Regions from separate parts of the Mus musculus genome. Here all the other regions are reported to be linked to region 4. Evidence: microRNA targets listed by miRTarBase, many of them from high-throughput screens and not tested one by one. Region 4 holds a microRNA gene; each other region holds the end of a gene's coding sequence.
What was found. The annotated mature microRNA mmu-miR-1896 reads CUCUCUGAUGGUGGGUGAGGAG and lies in region 4 at 1,513-1,534, opposite strand. An mRNA with a match to its seed (bases 2 to 7 or 8) in the 3' UTR can be bound and repressed. Matches are read on the target gene's strand: a 7mer-m8 pairs with bases 2 to 8, a 7mer-A1 pairs with bases 2 to 7 and ends in A, and an 8mer does both.

Region 1 (3,086 bases), not on the chromosome of region 4:
TTCCTGCACTTATCAATGTCATTTTTCTTCTCCTCTTCTACCTCTGCAGCTTTCAGAAGATGAGAGTGACGTGGAGATCTCGTCTTTGGAAGATCTCTCCCAAGACCTGGGCCAGAAAGGAAAGCCAAAGCCTTTGTCCCACTCAAAGCTCCCAGAAAAGTTTGATGTCAGCCCTTGGAGCTCGGGGTCACGACCCAGGATTCCTGGCTGGTGATTCTCTTATGTTTGCCAGAGGGCTTAGCCTTGTTTCTTGGCTGGTCTCACCCAAATGGAAGAGGCCGTCAGGCCTCCCGCTCTCACTAGCAGCCAAGAAATCTTTCCCTTGAAGAGAAGCAGGGTAGGAGACAGACAGAACCTCTATCCACCCCCCGACCGCTACCCCAAAAGGCTGGCTCCTGGTGCTGGGTCTTGTGTAAATGTGAGAGGGATTGTAACAGGACTTCCTAGTGTTTCTTCCATGATCCCCATGTCCAGCCCAGACTGAAAGTAGTTACTCTTTCTAAGTTTTTGTAATCTGCAGGTCAACGTGGAGTTGGGTTCTGAGTCAGTTACCAGTTAGGTAGTCTATGGTGGACTCTCTAGCTTTTCACTACTGAATTGGGGTGCAGACAGAGGTAAGAGGTACAACGTGCTTGCTACCAGGGCCAGGCATAGTAATCGAGTGCTAGCCTGCTACCAGGGCCAGGCATAGTAATCGAGTGCTAGCCTGCTACCAGGGCCAGGCATAGTAATCGAGTACTAGGCATTAGAGTGTTGGGATGGCATGGTTGAGGCTGGCTGCCCTACTTTCATTTCTGTTGCTGTGATAAACACTCCGACCAAAAGCACCTTAGAGGAAGAAAGGCTTTGTTAGTCTATGACTGCAAGGAGATGAAGGCTGGACCATGAAGGTAGACCTGCTTGCTGTTCCACACAGCACTACCTCTGACCAAGTAATTCACTTCACAGCCAAAGAAACATGTTAGGAACCCTAGAGGATACTGCTTGCTAACTGCAGCTGTGTGCTAGCTCTTTTTATACAGTTCAGGACCTCCTGCCTAGGGATGGTACTGCCCACAGTAGGCTGGGTTCTCCTACATCCGTGAACAATCTAGACAATCCCTCACAGACATTGCCCTCAAAGCACTTCCTCTGAGGAGGCTCTCCTCTTGGACAGTTCTCAGTTGTGACAAATGGATATTTAAAACTAACCAGAACACCATTCCACCCAGTCCAGGATGACCCTGGAGAAAGCCCCAGAGTTGTGTTGTGTGGTGGAGCTTGGTCATGGGCAATAAAAAGAGCAATCTGGATGAAGCCTCTTGTCCCCAATAGAACCATAAATTTAATTTTTGAGATTGTTTCTGAATGAGATTTTTTTATATATATTGACTGTATTTTTGGGCAGAGAGGGGTTGGGTTTTAAAAATATTTTTATTTATTATTATTTTTTATTTTTTTATTTTTTTTGAGACAGGGTTTCCCTGTGTGGCCCTGGCTGTTCTGGAACTCTCTCTACAGCCTAGGCTGCTCTTGAACTCAGAGATCTGCCTGCCTCTGCCTCCTGAGTGCTGAGATTAAAGATGTCCATGGTGGCACGTAGCTTACATTGTATTTTTTTTTTTTAGTGTGAAAACATTTATTTATTATACTGAACATTTAAATATAATGATGTATACACCTCTTTATTATGTCGTTCTTTGTTATTTTTTTCAAGCTTTGTGGCGACTGAGGGTGGTGAAGAGGGAGTGAAGCAGCTTCCACCTCAGTTGTACCAGCTTAGGGCCTTTGGGATGCAGTGATCGAGGTGTGGTAAGACAGCCAGTTTTACTGAGGTGCTTTACCTGGGCAAGGTAAAGGTGGCTGAAATGGGGTCTGACAGCGGAAGATTGCAGAGTGGAAAAATGGAAAGGCATGTTCTAGTCAGTGCTCTATTGCTGTGAACAGACACCATGATTGTGGCCAGTCTTATAAAGGCAAACATTTAAGTAGAGCTGGCTTACAGTTTCAGAGGTTCAGTCCATTGCCATCATGGAGGGGAGCATGGGCACACAGGCAGACATGGTTCAGGCAGCAGGAAGAGAGAGATACTGGTCCTGGCTTGGGCTCTGAAACTTCAAAGCCCACCCCCAGTGACACACTTCCTCTAACAAGGCCACACCTCCACCAACAAGGCCACACTCCATAATCCTTTCAAATAGTGCCACTCCCTGGTGACCAAGCATTCAAATCTGTGTGCCTGTAGGGGCCATGCTTATTCAAACTACCACAAGGCAGAAACAGGGAGAACCCAGACAGCAATGCAGGGCTCTCACAGGAGAGCTACAGAGTCAGGACTGCCTACTGTAGTGTCCCCAAACCTTTGTTACTGCACTGTGCTTTATCATTGGCTGGGGGATCCTGGGGTCGCATGAGACCTCAGCTGTGAACTCTGTCAGCCAATTATATTCCTTGCATTTGAATAGAGACTTTAATATCCTAAGAGAAAAATAGTCATCTTAAACGCTCGTGTTTGTCACAAATTATTTCTAACTCCTGTGGAAAATTTCAGATTTGTACAAGGGAAGGGAACGGTGTGGTGAGACCCTGTCCTCATCGCTGGGCTCCAGCCATTGGCAACTCAATTGCGAGCATTGCTTCACCTATTGCCAGCCATCACTCCATTCAGGCTTCTCCTGGCCTCTCAGTGGTCCCGAAAACTTGGGCTAGGTGCTGATGTTCTTATAGGAGGAGCACAGAAGGAGTGATGGAAGACACGCCCTGCATCGGAGAGAGTGAAGGGATGTGGTTGAGTAGAGGGAGGGCTGAGGCCATATTGATGTAAAGGAAACGGTTTGGTGAGGTTAGAGCAGAGGTCTCTTCATGAACACCAGACACGATTGGGCAGGTCATTGTCAGGGACCCCAAAGGCTCCAAGGCTTGCAGGGGGCCAATCCAAAGGAAGTAAAGAAGGGAATTCAGCACCAATGTTTTAGGTGCTAAGTCAAAACTTCTAGAGTCTGACTTCATGGTTTATTCGTATACATTTAAGCACAGTAAAACTTAAGAAAAAGGTTTTCACATGACAGTTATCACAACAAAGCTTTTGGCAGAGCTGCACAGAAACT
Region 2 (3,086 bases), not on the chromosome of region 4:
ATACATACACACGCAGTTTAACAGTTCATTTCTCATTAGTATAAAACAGAGATTAGACCACTTTATTTTGTTTTTAAAATTAAAAGTTGTATAACAAAACACCCAAAAGAAAATAAAAATTTTATCAAATTTTGGTACAAGTATGAGTAAATATAGAGTACTCTTCAAAAAAGTAGCATTGAACCATTTTAATTTTAATATTTATTTCAAAGTATTTTTAAAACACTAGATAATTTTATAAATGCCACATATAAATATACAGACCCAAAATATAGCAGTACTATTAATGCAAGAGAAGTAAACTAATAAGATGCTTAAACAAATATGACAATAAAATCAGTTTTCATGGCTATTAATTTTTCATGAATTTAAAAAACTATTCAGAAATAAAATATAGTTAGTATATCATGATTACTATTGAAGTCTAGACTTGCAGAAACAACATAAAAGTACTTGTAAAAAGTTCCCATCTAAATGGATATAAAGTTTTAGGTTTTGGTTAACATACTAAATTTGGTGGGAAAATCTTAAATTAATGTCTCCTTTATATAATATTCTTGAGTTTTTACACACCATTATTGATACGATTAAAAACTCAATGTATACCCCCTATAACATTGCATTTTAGTTTTGAAATAGCAAGTATTGAGATTATTTCAAATGTGGGTAAAGAAAATTAGTAATATAATCAAGGCAGAAAAGAATGCATTTAATTTAGCTTAGCTCAGGGAAACGTTAATGCCTCTGATCACTATTTGCAAAGACCATTTGTAAACTATGATAGAAATTATTATACCTGCCCTGCCAGCAGTTTTTATTTGCACCTTATGAGATCATATTGACTCTGTAGAACATGATGCTCTTATAATAAAAGAAATGTTGAAATGCTGATGGTAGGCTAGGCACAGTGTAGGTACTCAATATTATTAATTCAAAATAAAAAAGCATTATTTCTACACATTTACAATTCAACATGATAGTTATAAGTTGGCCTGAAAGTTTCCAAAACCACTTTAAACAGGAAAATACACTTTTGGTAACAACCATGGAAGGAATTTTTACAAGTGGCCATTTTCAATCTCAGTTTTATAAAAATAAAAGTTTCCATTTTGAGTCCTATAAATGAGCCTATGAAAGCTGTTCTTGCTCCCTGCCAAATATGATAAAATCGCCCTATCAGCACTTTCAGAACTGATTAGTTTAGATAACAATACACCCTATTTCAGTTTCCCTTGAAAACTGAATCTGTGCACCTTTAGACTGGATCCATCAATGTGTATTTCTGAACAATTCCCATTCCTCCTCCTGGAAGTTACTATTATCAAATAGAATTGAGAAATAATGATTTCAAGTAACCAAAACTTTTATCATACTTTAACACTAGTTGACATGAGCAAAAAAAAAAAATGGATGGAGATTTTGAATAACCTGTCTAGATTATCATCATACCTAAGTGTTCCTTACTTAAAAGATTCCTTACTTATAAGATTTGCTCTAGGTCTCTTGCTAGTCACAATAGCTAGTCACAGACACTGATCACCTCTGTCAAATCTGTTGCTCATTGGTGTTCTTTTGTTTTGTTTTGTTTTTCGAGACAGGGTTTCTCTGTATAGCCCTGGCTGTCCTGGAACTCACTCTGTAGACCAGGCTGGCCTCAAACTCAGAAATCAGCCTGCCTCTGCCTCCCCAGTGCTGGCATTAAAGGCGTGTGCCACCACGCCCTGCTTGGTCATTGGTGTTCTATAGTTTTATGTTGTATCTAACTTTTTCTTATTAGAAAACAGGAGAATCATCTGGCAGTTGTGCTTAGAAATCAGCTGTACTACTTGGAAGTAGTCCTTAAACCAGCAATGCCAGGATCAGTTAGAAGTATTTGCAAAGCTGGTTATCTTAGCCTTTTCTTACTTGCCAAAGCTGTTCTTGAACTCCTGAACTCAAGTGATTCTTCCACTTAGGCATCCCAAGTAGCCTGGGACTACATATGCCATGACCACATTCAGCTTTCAAATACCCATTTTAAAAAAATCTCCCAATTTACAAAATAGTATGTCAACTCCATGTACAAAATCTCATTAGTCATATAATGCAAGAAGGAAATGATTATTTAACTGGCTATGTATGTATTTTTTTAAAGTGCATAGGTTTATTTAATTTCACCTAGTAACAAATGCCTCTAAATTAAAAGAGAAAATAAGAAACAAAATATATTCTTAAATGAATTATCATAGAGCACTAAGGTAAGTTGGAAAGTTTAAATTACCAGAGATATGAAAGAACTTTTAATTAGGAATAAAATCATGATTATTTCCTAATAAGACTATTGTATGAAAAGAAATAAAACTGCAAGCTTACTGAAGCAAGTTAAATAGTTTATGATTAAAACTACTCAATTTAAATGAATTATTTTAGATACTCAAGTAAATAATATGGTATTCAAAGAGTTATTTAAAAATAGCTTTTAACAATTATAGCATTAGTAAAAATTACTAATTGCTAAATGACTAACATATGTAAGGATATTATCAAACTGTCTGTATATAAAGGATGGAAGGGGCTTAATACCACAATCCGCTTCATATCCCCATCTGGATCTCAGCAAAGTTATAGAAGCTATCAACATCTCCAGATGCGGTCTCCTTCTTTTCTGATACAAACATCTATTCCAAATACAAAATAAACAAAAATTAGTTCTGTAGCCCTTAACTGTCAAAGGCTACCTCTTCTCAGAACAAAGTCACAGGCTTGGGTTTTCTTTTTAAGTTTTTAGAGTTATTTTGTATGTGTATGAATGTTTTGCCTGAATGTATGTAGTATGTATACCACACACATGCCCAGTTTCCTCAGAGGTTAAAAGAGGGTGTTGGATCCTCTGGAGCTGGAGTTACAGATGGTTGTGATGGTGATGTTAAGGGATATACCATAAATACAAGTACTGTTTGATTATAAGGGAAAGGAGATAAAATGGAAAGCTGGATTGAGATATAGTCAGTAAGATCTTATACCTTTGTCCCGTTGAACATCCCATTTACAATAAGGTGACATTCTTGTACAGCGTCATCTCCATTAAATTCCAAGGCAATCACAGG
Region 3 (3,086 bases), not on the chromosome of region 4:
TGCATTGCCAGGGAAACCAAGGGAGACATTGTAGCAGTGCCAAAACTGAGAGGGCCAGAAAGCCGGAGAACTGCTCAGGCAACATCCCCTGATTTTAGAGCAGGCTCCTGAAATAGCGGCTCTCACTCACTCGTTCATAGCACAAAGCAGGAGAGACCAGAAGCTAGGGGCAGGCTTATGATACACTTGGAAGGATCCAAGGGACAGGGCAGTGTGGCCCCTGGAGAGAACAATACCCCTGTCCTGGAGGGCTGGATGAAGTCCAGGTTAGCCTGGGTTAGAACCCTAACTTCACCACCGAAGAACTACACACTTAGGCAACTCATTCCAATCAAACCTGTCTCCCCATCTGAAATGGGAGCAGGGTTAAGGATGAAACGGGATGCAGAGCACAGGCTGGCACGTGTACATGACACTCATGGGCAAATCTCTGAATAAAATCCCGTCTATTCGCATTGTTAAAGACAGAAGTGGAAGACTGAATTCAATTTTTTAAAGGCAGTACCTATTTACATGATACAGTCCTTAGAGAAAGGTCACCCAGTGGTAGCTGAGACTGGCATTCCCCGCCACCCCCCATCTGGACTCTCCTACGTTGCACCACACAGCTCACCCTGACTGCAGAGACCTTTGGACTCTATCATTTTCTTGCTTACACTTATTCTCCCCAACCACATCATAAACCCGCTCAAGTAAACACTGCTACCAAACTAGCCATTACACTCCAGGTCCCGAGTCACAGTCAACAGGCTTCTGGAAACCCAGCAATCAAAAGTGTCAAAATCAAGGTAGCCAGTAGCAGAGGGAAGAAGAAACCAACTGCAAACGGCACGCTAGCCCTGCTCAGAGCCCTGGGTCAGTTCGGAGGATCTGGGTCAATCTGTCTGCTTGCACAACTCTGACTGGCTTCAGGACCCTGCAGAGTAGCAGCCCAGTTTAAGTAACAAGATAAAAGCACAGTTACTCAGGGACTCAGCAAGCTCAGGGCTATGCTTGATACAGGTGAACCTGCAAGCTTCTCACGTGGCATCCCTAAGCGTGCTACTCAAACTAGAGTTAAAGACAAAGGCAGCGAATTTTCTGAATTTTTATTATTGATTTTTTTTTTTTAAACTCTAGGGTGAGCAGACAGTTCAGTGATTAAAGGTACATTCTCTTCTTGAAGAGAACCAGAGTTGGATACCAGCATCGCACCATGTAGATGAGACTGTTCTGTCCTCCACTGGCATGGTACTCATACACACAAACCCACACTCACATTCATCATCTAAGTTATTTTTAAAAGTTTTAACCATTTTGGGTTGTGGGAAGTGTGATCATTTAAAACCAGGTCTTGTGTAGTTTAGGTTGGTCTTGAACCTGTGTCAATTTTCTTGTCTCAGCATCCCAATGCTTCATTCAAAGAAGGGCAACACATACCTGCCTAGCTAGAAAGTGATTTTCTTTTTTGTTTTTTCGAGACAGGGTTTCTCTGTGTAGCCCTGGCTACACTGGAACTCACTCTGTAGATCAGGCTGGCCTCCAACTCAGAGATCTGCCTATTCCTGTGGGGATTCAAAATGTGCACCACAATGCCTGGCTTCGAAAGCAAGTCTTAAAATGCTGCTCAGGAGGTTGACTGTGGCCCGCTGAAGGGCAAGTGACTCGGGTGACACATGAGAATACACAAGTGGTGCAGGAAGCCCGATCAACACTCCCCGAGCAGACACCTTCCAAACAAGTGAGGTGAGTCAGTGAGGCAGAACCCCAAATCCTTCACCTAGGCACGGACAGACTGACAGACCCCACTGCCCCTCACAGCCCTCCCTCCTTTGTCAAGGACACTGAGGGTACAGGACCTGGGCAGAGACCCAGAGCAAACAGAAATGAAAGAACAGGCTGTGTACCCCGGAGAGAAGAACAGGAGGTTTCCAACTTAAGAAAATAGGATGGCAGCATTGCCTGCGTGGAGCGCTGATGAGGTGGTCACGCACATGCAGAAATGACGTGGGATGACGCGCTTAGTAAAACGATACTTTACTTGCACAACCTTAACCGCTACCAAAACCCACCAACCACAAGCTGTTTGCTATCCTTTATTAAGAGGTCCCACATTTTTGTGGGACCCCAGCCAAACCAGACAGGTCCCCTAAATATAGCAGGAGGCCTGGAAGGGGAAGGGAATGACTTAGGATCCCACCACACCTCCCTGGAAACAGAAATCCACCACAGACAGACGGATAGACGGACAGACAAGAGCTGGGGAGGAGAACCCACCTCACTCTCGGTTCTCTCCCCGTTGCACCCACTCAAAAAGAAAGTCAAACACTGGCTATGCAGACCCCAGCCCACCCACCCACCCATAGCAGCGTTTGTGGGACTCCCCCCTGCAACGGGTAGCCCCAAGACAACTCCCTACGGACCCTCCTTGACTTTGGTTTGCTCCTGGCAACTCCGCGCCCTCTTCCTTCCCTCAGCCTCCAGCACACTCTCTGGCATCTTCTACCACCTACTCGGACCTTCCCTCTCTCTTGCTCTCTGCTTTCTGGCCTCCTTGCCCCAGGGCTTCTTGGGGAAGCAGTGGGCACCTTCCTCCTAACAAGGGCCCCACTAGGCCCTGTCTGCCCATCATGTGGGACTCACACAGCTGCCCCACTCTCTTTGAGGTCAGGGGCTGAGCGCTGCCGTCGCATTCGCGGAGGGGTAGTGTATGGTGGGTAGCGGGGCCCTGGCCGCTGGGCTGGGCTGGGCTGGGGCTGTTGGGGATAACCGTTGTGCTTTTGGGGCCGTAAGTGCTGGGGTTCTGGCTGTGTAGAACCCCCTCCCCGAGATCGGCTCCCTCCATCTAGGGAATTCCTGCGAGAACGGTGGGGTCTTCGGGGACTTGGAGGCCTACGGTTAGGGGGTGCTGGGGGGACAGTGACCTCTTCAGGGGGCTGAGGAGCTGGGGCCTCTCCACTCCCCATTCCTGGCCAGGACTCCCTGTGCTGAGGGTTGCTTTTGAAGGGGAAGCGCAGCTTGCAATCATGCGGGGGCACAAAGCGGGCTGGAGGCCTGCGCAGTCCCCCACCCCGGCCCCCAGCGCCCTGCAGTCCCTGCAGCCGCAG
Region 4 (3,186 bases):
TGTGCCCTGAATCTGCTATAGATCCCCTCTGAGGGGAACAAATCATATTTCAACATGATGTTTTTGTGAATGCATTATTCTCAAGGTCTTATGCTCCCGGTACTGTTGATTTATTGTTAAGAACGTAAACACTTTTTCCAAGATTACATACTACTCAGTGATAAAATTGGCACCATGTCAACTCATCTTCATTTGTCAAAGTACCTTCCCTGCTTAACTTGATGGTCCTCGGGTGACCTGATTTATGGTGCTTTTTTGTTTCCCAGGTGACAAATCATGATCAAGAATATGCAGTCATGCTTAGTAGCTTCTGTGTGTGTAACATATGTCACATAATAAAATATAGAACATTTAAAATAAATCACCTCCCACCACAACCCCTGCCCTTCCCCAAAGCCAATCTGGTTAACACTTTCCCAGATGTCAGGCTGGACGTGGTGGTGCTGTAACTGTGGGACCTGAGAGGAGAGGATTAGGTTAGGCCATGTTATTCTGCATAGTGAAAACTTACCTCAAAAAAAACAAACAAAACCACAGTTTCTTGTAAATCACTCTTTATATATATATAAAATAATCATGAGCAAAATTTTGTTGTTGTTTTTTTACTTTGTGAGGATTGAAGCGATCTCATCTCTTAAGAAAACTTTTACAGAGGATCTGGTTTCAGTTCCTGTCAACTACATTGCAGCTCACAACATTCTGTAACTCCAGTTTCCGGGAACTGGACAGCCTCTTACGGTTTCCTTGGCACTGCATGCATGTTGTGTACATGCATACATGCAAATAAAACACACATAACATGTTTTTACATTTATACACATGGCTTTATTTAAGTATTTCCTGCTATTTGCAGATTCCTTTCCCTGAACACCAAAAATAAAATAATTAGTGATATATATATTTACTATTTCAGGTAAAGAGACAAGGAGTGAGAATGGGAATCTCATTGCAGGGACAGACTCTTGTGGAAGAATGGAATCATCTTGTACCATGACTGAACCCATTGAGGCCCAGTGTGAGGACCTGAGCTTGAAAAAGAATCCAGCCATGCCCAAGGAAAAAACTAACAGCCAATGCTTGGAAACTAAGGAGAGACTTGTTCAGAACTCAGGCCTGATTGAACATGACAGGGCACATACAGGAGAAATGTCCTGGGAATCTGTAGGATCTCAGAGTTCTGTTGCTGCTGACCATCAGGAAATCTCTAAAGACAAAGGTCATCCCTGCCAAGAGTGTGGGAAAGTCTTTCAGAGAAGTTCACACCTCATCAGACATCAGAAAATCCATCTTGGGGAGAAGCCTTACCAGTGCAAAGAGTGTGGAAAAGTCTTTAGCCAGAATGCAGGTCTTTTGGAGCATCTCAGGATCCATACTGGAGAAAAACCCTATCTGTGTATCCATTGTGGAAAGAACTTCAGGCGAAGCTCTCATCTTAATCGACACCAAAAAATTCACAGTCAGGATGAGCCCCGAGAATGCAAGGAGTGTGGGAAAACCTTTAGTCGGGCCCTCCTCCTCACCCACCATCAGAGAGTCCATGGTCGTTCCAAAAGACATCACTGTAATGAGTGTGGGAAAGCCTTCAGCTTGACCTCCGACCTTATTCGACATCATAGGATTCACACTGGAGAAAAACCTTTCAAATGTAATGTGTGTCAGAAAGCTTTCCGCCTAAATTCACACTTAGATCAGCATGTTAGAATCCACAATGAAGAAAAACCCTACAAGTGCAGTGAATGCAATGAAGCCTTCAGGCAGAAGTCTGGTCTCTTTCAGCATCAGAGACATCACCATAAAAGCAAACTGGCTTGATGAGGTTCTCTGTTTGAAACATGGAAATGTTACATTGATAAGCAAACAGCGCCTTTTGAAAGAACTCACGACGGCTTCAGGATTCTTGGAAGCCATTTGCCTCCGTTGTGTCCCTCTCTTGGCTTTACTTAAAGTCATAATTAGACTATAATAATTTACCAGAATAGCAGAATCAGAGTTAAACAAATATTCACTACAGAGCTTCTCAGAGCTTTCAGTGTGATAAGTACTTGATTATGTATCTCTTAAGTATTAGCTTTATGTGTGAATGAAGTGTTTGAAATCAGTAAGTCAAGTGCCTATAGATTTATACAGGACAAGATCAAGCTGATATTTTTGTAAGTACTGTAGCAACAGGCTCCTAAAACATAAAATTAATGAGGGTTGGGGATATGCTCAGTGGTTTAACCAAGTTGCTATGCAAGTGGAAGGACTGTTTTGGATCCCCAGCACCCATGTAAAGTCAAATGAGTATGTGGCCAGCCTGTGGCCTGTGGTCCCACCCCTCAGGTGGCAAAAATGGGATCTTTCTAGCAAGCTGGCTAGCCAGACTAGCTGTATCAGCAAACTTTGGACTCAGGGGAGGGAGTTTGGAGAGCAGTCGGTGGAGTTCTTGAGGAAGACTCCTGATGATAATCTAAGTGCACATGTGTCCATACGTATGTAGAGCCATACCTGCAAACATCATACATGTGAAAAGACAAATCCTAAGGAGCTAGAGTTAGCAGTTAACATACCTGCTCTTGCAGAGGACCCATCCATTTTCAGTTCCTAGCACCTCCATAGCACAGCGTCTCACAGTTCCAGTTCTGGGGATCTGCTAGCCTTCTCAGGCTTCTGTACACAGTGGTCCACAGAAACTGGTGGACACACACACACAACTGGTAAAATATTTTTAAGCCCAAAATAAATCTAATAATGCTTAGAAATACACATCCTCAAGGGTCTAACGTAGGTTAACTGAACATTTTCCCTGTTAGGTTCACACAAACACTGGCTTCATATCCACTTTACCTTTGTACCATCAATGAATGCATTTCTGAAAGCTTTTGCTGTTTAACTATAGAACCTACCCTTAGGATTAGCTCATGTCATTTTACATTTCCTGCCCATTTTAACCACAGTATCACAGTGTTTCAAATTATAAATCAAAGTTTTACCTAAACTATGCAAGAGACTTTGAGTCATTTGAGTGAACTGTGTTGAAGTATTCTAAGCAGCGACCTCCTTACTGGGCAGCAACAGTGCCAGTACAGTGACTGCTTGAAGGACACCTTTTTTCATGAATGTCCCATGGGGGGAAATGGGGTTTTCCCCCTTTGATACCAATGATGCAAATTTAAATGCTACTTGTTTTGATATTATTTTGACCAT

Region 1: the mRNA of Dzip1l is a reported target of mmu-miR-1896. Seed matches in the 3' UTR shown: 7mer-m8 at 1,519-1,525.
Region 2: miRTarBase lists Rp2 as a target of mmu-miR-1896. Seed matches in the 3' UTR shown: 7mer-A1 at 1,602-1,608.
Region 3: miRTarBase lists Kif1c as a target of mmu-miR-1896. Seed matches in the 3' UTR shown: 7mer-A1 at 1,468-1,474 and 7mer-m8 at 428-434.

The regions. Positions count from the first base shown.
Region 1 is chr9:99,667,590-99,670,675 of GRCm38, forward strand. Dzip1l (DAZ interacting protein 1-like) reads left to right here. Exons shown (of 16, transcript NM_028258.4): 16 at 50-2,486. The coding sequence ends at 214. Among named protein-coding and RNA genes, the nearest start is that of Dzip1l, 40 kb to the left of the region's middle.
Region 2 is chrX:20,397,223-20,400,308 of GRCm38, reverse strand. It overlaps Rp2 (retinitis pigmentosa 2 homolog), which reads right to left. Exons shown (of 5, transcript NM_133669.5): 4 at 3,003-3,086; 5 at 1-2,657. The coding sequence ends at 2,574. Among named protein-coding and RNA genes, the nearest start is that of Jade3, 27 kb to the left of the region's middle.
Region 3 is chr11:70,728,412-70,731,497 of GRCm38, reverse strand. Kif1c (kinesin family member 1C) reads right to left here. Exons shown (of 23, transcript NM_153103.2): 23 at 1-3,086. The coding sequence ends at 2,619. Among named protein-coding and RNA genes, the nearest start is that of Mir6925, 24 kb to the right of the region's middle.
Region 4 is chr13:21,443,557-21,446,742 of GRCm38, reverse strand. It overlaps Mir1896 (microRNA 1896), which reads right to left and starts at 1,583; the gene lies at 1,503-1,583. It overlaps Zscan26 (zinc finger and SCAN domain containing 26), which reads left to right. Exons shown (of 6, transcript NM_001347491.1): 6 at 914-3,186. The coding sequence ends at 1,812. 4930470G03Rik (RIKEN cDNA 4930470G03 gene) reads right to left here. Exons shown (of 4, transcript NR_151504.1): 3 at 2,550-2,672; 4 at 1-1,821.